Linked DNA regions of Nothobranchius furzeri. The protein of the gene in region 1 interacts with the protein of each later gene in a biochemical or structural test. Links are inferred from orthologs where the notes say so. Each region holds a gene or a part of one and is shown in the gene's direction. Other genes may lie near its edges.

Region 1 (4,230 bases):
ATGACTGAGCAAGTTTCACTAAATGCCTTCAAAACCAAACTGACAGCTTCAGAGATTGCATTAGTAACTTGTAACTGCTTCTAATGACTGAGTGTTTTATCATTGTCATGACGTTGTAACTGTTTGTATTTTTGCTGCCTCTTGGCCAGGTTCTTAACCTCAATGGGTCTCTATCCTGGTTAAATAAAGGTTTAAAAAATCTTTTAAATCTTCCTTTCATTAACTAGAGCACATAACCTAAAACTCTTAGCTGATGAGGTTCAGCAGCGAGAAACTCAACAATGAACACCTGGCAGGAAAAAAACCAAACTAAACAAAAACTTTGTAATTCCACAACAACCCTAACCTGCAGGCACATTTAAAACATCTGATATATATATATATATATATATATATATATATATATATATATATATATATATATATATATATATATATATATATATATATATATATAAACACATGTAGAATTGTGAGATAAATTGTGAATTATTTTAATTAAAACAACAACGTAAATATATATTTACGTTGTTGTTTTAATTAAAATAATTCACAATTTATCTCACAATTCTACATGTGTTTATATATATATATATATATATACATATATATATATATATATATATATATATATATATATATATATATATATATATATATATATATATATATATATATATATAACACATGTAGAATTGTGAGATAAATTGTGAATTATTTTAATTAAAACAACAACGTAAATATATATTTACAGAAAAAAATGAGAAGGTTGCCAATGAATCTTGTATTTTGCTACTTTTGAAGGGTTCATTATTCTGTAATTTTAAATGTAAGCCAGTCCACAAATGTCTGAATATCACCTCAGGTCAGGATTTTATGGTTAACGCTTCAGTGTCATCAATCCTAACTGAAGTCTGAAATAAGGTGTGTGCACCCTGGAGTCCGTGGTGAATGGATGACTCTCCAAGTGTTCGCTACTCAAGCGGGAGTTTGAATTTGGAGTCCAGCTGTGGGTTCTTAGGCTGAAAGGTCAAGCTTCTCATGGTTGCTGTTCTGACGCGTTCAGTGGAAACCGGTGGTCATAATGTTATGGATAATTGGAGTAAATGAACTATACAAACAGACCAGCAGGGGGCGATGTCAAAGGGAAAGTCGCGCTTCACGTAGTTTGTCCCTGTAGGGCCGCCGTAGCGCTGAAAAATACAAACGCCTTTTCCATCGTTTTAAAGGTGAGAACAACTTAACAGGTAAAGATTCCAGTTAAACACCTCAGATGAACCCGCTCACGCGCCTTTAGCTGACCGCGTCTTCAGGAGGAAAGCTGCAAAAGTCTGTCCTCATTTATTTCATTTCTGCTCGTCGGAGGCGGAAATGATTCGTTATGAGGATTTTAGAGACACGGTTATTAACTTTATCTTTACTTCCTGTGAGGCTCTGGAGCCTCAGCAGGACGCAGCTCCAGGTCACGGGCAGGCTCGTGTCCGGAGAGGTGGAGGTGTTTCTGCGGACCCTGGAGCTGCCTGAGCCCCGGAGGACTGGCTCGTTATCCGGACTCCTGCAGAAGGACAGGTGGGTAGGGACGAGCTTCCGGTTCGGTCCTGGCTGCAGGCTTTCCGCGGGGTCTAAAAAGTCCTAACAGCGTTGAATTTAGGAATTTGGAAATGATTCCTTAAAAGGTCTAAAATGAGTGCGGAACGTAAATGACCCGTACCGTGTTTGTCCTCTAGAGTTTCATTTGTCAACCACCATCATTTTTATATTACACCTTATTGTTTTATAACGTAGCATAAATAGAGTGGCGGAACCAATAATAGAGAACCGCCTCGGGTCTAAATACTCCGAACACGTGACGTATTCAGCTCCCGCGCTACAGCAGCGATCCAAAACGGTAAACACACACCGTGTGTGTGTGTGTGTGTGTGCGCGTGCGCGTGGACCACACAGACCTCCAGCAGAGGAGGAACATAGAACATCTCAGCTCATGAGAAAGGCTGACTGACGCCTAGGGCGGGTTCCAGAACTCTGGACCTCTTTGGGACTGAGTGGAAACACTCGTAGGTCCCAGGGCCGGATTAACACTTTGTTACCCTGGGCAACAATATTCAAGGGCCCCATCATAACAACCCAAGAATCACCACAATATGGTCACATACAGAATATTTTACTGTAATATGCAGTAAATATACTCAATACTTGAATGCCTGACATCACGTAACCCGCTCAGGGTAACCTTTGACCCACCTCGTGTGGACTGACCAATGAGGAGAGGGTCTTAACTTGAGGCCCTCTCTTCTGGTCCAAGCTCTTTGACATTAAGTTTTCCACCATAGTTCTCCTCTCGAACGGATACTGGAGAAGAGACCGAACTGAATTCAGTGGCTGCTGAGATCCGGTATCCATGCTGGTTGTAGTCACCGGCGGCGTCCATGTTACATCTGCGTCACGACCAAAAACGTGCTGGAGTAGTCGAGACTCTCCGAGTTCTACCGAATACCAACGAAAGCCTTTGGCGGTAGCTCTATCGCCCATCATGCTTCTGAATCGACGTCGACGCTGATTGGATACATTCCCATTCCTACCGTTTGATTTTCTTGTCAGCAATTGGCCGGCAGCTTCCGTGCTGTTTGGGCGATTGAAACACAGCCTACAGCCTTTCTGTCGCCTCCACCGCTCGGCAGAGAGCTTCTCACCAATATAGATATATACATATATGATTTGTTTTTGTTACAAATCACACAATTAACTTAGAATATGTGATTATTGTTAATTTTATTTATTTTTTTTTAATTAAAATTAAAAACACTGGGGAAAACTGGGAGGGCGGCGCCCTATCACCCTCTACTGGCCAGCCGCCACTGAAAGCAGGAGATTACAGATACAGTATTTTGCTCTTGCCCTTGCTGCCCTGGGCCCTTTAGAGTTCATGGGCCCCTGGGCAATTGCCCAGTTGCCCATATGGTTAATCCGGCCTTGGTAGGTCCCAAATATCAGAAAAAAGTGTTAAAATGTCCCGATGTGCCACTGCAGGTCACATGACTGATCCCGGGTCACGTTATGAGTGGAGCAGGCGCGTCTCCTTTCAGCAACATTAACTAGAAAACAAACGTTTGGGTCGTTTAGCTAAAGTACGCAGCAGCTAAATGCATCAGCAGGAATAGCAGCAGTTTCACCAGCACCTGGTCGTGCAGGGCGGCATCTTAAGAGCTGGAACATGGAACGTCTCTGACTGCAACCAAGTCAACCCGAGTCCATCACCTTCCCAAGCCCTGGAGGAGTGTGAGGATGGAGGCTGATGACAGCAGACCTGGCTGCTGTTATAAAAGCAGTTCAGCAGGTTGTTGTTAACTGCTGTTACTGACATGAAGTCAGCACTAATGAAGCTGCTTTATTCATGTTTACATGTTGGGCCTTTACTGTTTGCACTGCAGCTTTGCTGGAATAAAGTATAATATCAATAAATATAATAAAATAATATAAAGAACACAACCTTTAAGTACTTTGTTATCCTCTCTTCTCGCCATCGTTAAAGTAGTAGTATGAATAAGTACTTCATGGTACCCAGCCCCACTGATGCTGTTATAGACATGTGTTACGTTTAGGGCTGCAACTAACGATTATTTTCATAATCGATTAATCTGTCGATTATTTTTTCGATTAATCGATTATCGGTTTGTTACTGTTTAGCTATTTAACCTATACAAGTGATGGATGCATTTCAGTTAAGAAAAAAAAACATAAGAGAATTGTGCAGTTGACTGCAATCTATTTTATTGCACATGAACACAGTCAGCAGTAGAAAATGAGCTAAACAGTGCAAAATATCAGTCCAGAATAATTTTTTAGCATTAGCTGGAAGCCTGCTCCTTCCACCATGGATAGTGGCCTCATGTCTTTTACCAGCATGTTTAGAATAGAGTTTGTAAGTGGTATGCATTGCTGGGGGGTGAGTGTCTTCTTCCCCATGTAGTTGTCCATCGTTGCTTGTTTTTTTCTGCATAAGAAACACAAATAGACTGAAATAAGTACACATATAAAATAAAGCAGCACACACACTACAACACTAAATCAATGTTAAATTATTTGAATTAATTAACAATATACAGTGATCATTTATTTTGAGGGTTACGTTCTACAAAATAGCCCGCAACAGGAGATATTAAGAAAAAAAGTCTAATTTTTTTACTATTAAAAAGCTCAGAGTAAGAAGCTCATGAGGTTTTTACTTTGAGT
Region 2 (4,036 bases), on another chromosome or scaffold:
GATAGATAGATAGATAGATAGATAGATAGATAGATAGATAGATAGATAGATAGATAGATAGATGATATATAGATAGATAGATAGATAGATAGATAGATAGATAGATAGATAGATAGATAGATAGATGATATATAGATAGATAGATAGATAGATAGATAGATAGATAGATAGATAGATAGATAGATAGATAGATAGATAGATAGATAGATAGATAGATAGATAGATAGATAGATAGATGATAGATAGATAGATAGATAGATAGATAGATAGATAGATAGATAGATAGATAGATAGATAGATAGATAGATAGATAACAAATGAAATGTGTTTTGCATGCTCCAGTAAGACTATAATAGTGTTTCAGACACTCATCACTTACCACGTGCAGTCTGGGTATCGATCAGTACCTCTTCCTCACTCCCGTGAGTGCGTGCTTATTTGACTCCGTCCATCCGACAGGTGTGTACATCTCTCCTGCAAGTGCCCGAGTGAAAGATGCTTCTCCTGCTGGCCGGGACTGAGCAGGCAGCGTAGACAGGCAGTCACGTGACCAACATCTCGGAGACCATCCATACGGGAGGGGAGAGGTAATGACAAATGCGTGGACTGGATCCGAATTGGGTCAGACGGTCCTCGGAGTCCATCGGAACCAATGGGGAGCGTCAAACTGAGAATAGCCTTTCCCCCCAGCTAAAACAAATCAAAGGTTATCTGTGTGCACTCTGATAGCTCCTTCTTCTGTCCAATGAGGCGTTTGTGCTCCATTTCAATAGGTCCGTTTTACGTTAATCTGTGATTTATTTTATATGTTTTATTTGGCAACACATTGCAATTCAATGTAATTGCTACTCAGCGTTGTTTTGTGTCAAATTCATTTTTGCTCGAATATGGAAGTGTGAGTTCGTGAGGAAACATAATAAAAATAAGAACAAAGGCGATATATTTAAAACAAGCAAACTTGAAGCTGTTTCACAAAAGTCTAATCGGGGTATTTGGGGGTATTTCGGCTGTGAAATTAAAAGCCTGTTTTATTTTCTCGGGCGGACAGAATAGGCTTGATGTTAGACGACTACTGCAGGTGAAATATGCTGATTTTCACAAGTGTGTTTGAATCAATTGTGATTTTTTAAACATAATTTTCTACGTTTGAAATGCAGATTTCTGTTGTTTTCCAGTTTTGTTTGAAGGGCTGAGATATTCCTGCCAGACGGTGGCGCTGTTGTCAGTTGAGAGCAAGCAGTAGCTGCAGAAGAAACAGAGGAGAGTCGCAGAAGAAGAAAAAAGAAGAAGACGTTCCACTGAGAAGAGAACAATCTGTTTGCTCGTTACCAACCACTAAAGTAACGTTATTTGGGTACATTTTAAATCATTTAAAGTTTGAACCTCTTCGCGTGTGTTTGGTTTGATATTTTTGCGGCTCTCATAATGATTATCACGGTGAAGCCGCTTTCAGGACTGGAATGTAACATTCAGGTGAGTTAACGCATCATGATGCTAACTGCCGGTGTAGCCAGCACACCGATGGTTATTTATCATATTAGTTTGCAAGTAAAGGGAGAACATATATGCTTCTTTAGTCAGGAAATTAGACAAAACACACCATTCTATGTAGGTTATGTGGGGTTAAACCGGTTAAACATAAACATCTGAGACGAGTTTAAACGTTATCTCTACCGAAGCTGTCCTGCTAGTTAACACTAATGTCACAGGAGGCCTTAAAAATGCACGTTTTTATGCTTTATTGGTTGTATTTATTAAAGTGGAAGGTTGTGCGTGACTGTATGACTTGGACAAATGTTAGCTTGGAGTATGGTTGCTATGGTGATCGTAACAGGGAAATCACCCAGAACTTTAGTTTTTAAACCAAAGCATTCCGTTTTTAATTCGTAAACGTGCAGATTCCATTCAATTTCAACATTTGGAAATTAGATGTGTTTACTCATTTGTAAACACTTCGATCTTTTAAAGCACCGTCGCGTGACAATCAAAAGGTTGTATTTTAATAGCTGAGGTAAACTAAATTCCCAAATCATTGTGGCGTCTACCTTTGTCTTTAAGATGTGAAGAGTCTGATCTTGCGTAACTCAATCCCGTGTTACTACACACAGAAATAATTGATACGCTTTTAATTTCTTGTTTATAATGATTTTACAGATTTAAGTAGGTCTGGGGTTTGAGCCAACAGCGCACCACAGCCGAGACATTTTCTAATTTATGTAAATTAGGACAACGAAATCACGGTGAGCAAATTCAAAAGTTGTCATTTACATTTCTCACAAGCCTGATTTAAACTTTGCCCTTCAGAATAACATATTCATTGAAATTCGTTTCATTTTTGAGTCGGCAGCTTAAAGAATCTCATTATTCTTCCCTCTGGCTGAATCCAGTCTCATTAATGTTTGCTAGCGACTCGAGAAACCTGTCTATAATACCCTTCTCTGTTTCCTAAATAAACAGAAAATGTCATTACCAACAGTGAGTTTATTTAAAAAATGATACATGAAGTTGATGCAAAGTTAATTGCCTAAACTTTGTTACTGCGTCACTTTCGTCTCAGTTGCTTGTGCTTCTTTTACTTCCTCTCAGTGCTTCCTGTCCTTATATCCAAACTCACACAAAGAACCAGTCTTCTGTCTCTGCTTTTAACCATTTTCTGGTGTGAAAATGCAGCAAAAATTATAACAGGCTAGTAATTATTCTACATTATTTAATCCTGTACAAAAAACACAACTGTGGTGCAGTAATGAGTATAAGTTTGTATATTTAGCTGGATTAAAACACCACAAATAAATAATGCTTTTGCTTAAAGAGCAAATTGCAGGTTAGAGACTCAAATAAACCAATGTTTAGAGAAACATAATAGCAACTCGTTTTAAACTTTTTTTTACACATTCATAAATTATTTAGGCTTTTAGAGTCATTTTTGTGAGAGAGTTTTTTTTTTATTTCTTTGCCAAACCAAGTCAGCCGACGGGGTCCTGTTAGCTTAATCTAGAGAAAAATGTAGATCCTAATGTCGGCTCTGACACAGAGGAAACTTTAAATGTTTGTAATTATACTTATGATGGACCAAAAAAAAAAACAGCTGGCCCGCTGAGCCGCCTGTCTCTTCTGGTGGTCGGTTCTGACCTGGTTCTGACGGTGATCTGAGTTCCAGAAATCTGAATGTACTTTTTTAAACCCTGCCACGGGTCTCCAGAGCCCAGCGCAGACCTCCCTGTCTCTGTACCAACCGATTTGGGCTACAGAAGTCCCGTCTTTTCAGCTGCACAAAACGCCCTCAGGCATGTGAGATAGAGGCGTAGTTTCTCTTATCTGGAAACCCGTGGACTCGATGTCCAGAAAGGCTGGAGTTGGTACAGCCTTCACAAACTATAGTTTATCAACATGAACACAATCCAAAACTAGTAAACACACACGCTGACTGGATAACATGACCGCTCTACCCTAAAACTACCCACTCTCCACACAGAGCTGAGGCAGCGCCTAGCTTCTAACTCCCTTTGGTTACATCAGAGGTTCAGATTTAGAAAAAAAGAGCCTTTTTAGAAGCTTTGCTGAGAGAGGCCACTTTTTACTAGAAAACTGCTGTTTTTAAACCAAATATCCACAATAAGCATTTCAAAGAGTATGTTTGGACAGCATTTTATATGAATTAGAAAAAAATATGTTACCTGCAACTTGCTTTTTAAAGAGTTAGTCACCCCCTACAAGAAATTCACGTTACTCCCACTTCATCTTTGAAAAATGCAACAAATGCTGTTGCCTGGCAGACCGAGAGAGCGGAGCCGCTAACAAATAAACACAAACAGGCTCACAAAAGCATTGTGACATCAAAATGTACTAGCTAACGTCATTGCATACCTCTTAGCCAATAGCAGTGGCAGGTTTAAATTTAAATGTAGTGAAGAGGTTTTACCGGACGACGGCACAACACTGACAGTTTTAGTCAGAATATTTAAAGTCCAGGGGCCACGCACAACGGGGTTGGAAAACTGCGCAAGCAATTTTCCACGCAAACTTTGGAATTCATGAA

The links.
Region 2: the proteins of sgta (region 1) and ubl4a form a complex in vitro, tested with the Homo sapiens proteins (3 studies listed by BioGRID, with this or other methods). The link is inferred for Nothobranchius furzeri from reciprocal best matches to the Homo sapiens genes SGTA and UBL4A.

Annotation. Positions count from the first base shown.
Region 1 is NC_091748.1:79,890,814-79,895,043, forward strand, and holds the start of sgta (small glutamine-rich tetratricopeptide repeat-containing protein alpha), read left to right. Parts: upstream 1-1,429; 5' UTR 1,430-1,569; intron 1,570-3,746; exon of another isoform or gene 3,747-3,991; intron 3,992-4,230. UniProt on the Homo sapiens protein: Co-chaperone that binds misfolded and hydrophobic patches-containing client proteins in the cytosol. Mediates their targeting to the endoplasmic reticulum but also regulates their sorting to the proteasome when targeting fails.
Region 2 is NC_091757.1:40,380,205-40,384,240, reverse strand, and holds the start of ubl4a (ubiquitin-like protein 4A), read left to right. Parts: upstream 1-1,235; 5' UTR 1,236-1,425; coding exon 1,426-1,473; intron 1,474-4,036. UniProt on the Homo sapiens protein: As part of a cytosolic protein quality control complex, the BAG6/BAT3 complex, maintains misfolded and hydrophobic patches-containing proteins in a soluble state and participates in their proper delivery to the endoplasmic reticulum or alternatively can promote their sorting to the proteasome where they undergo degradation.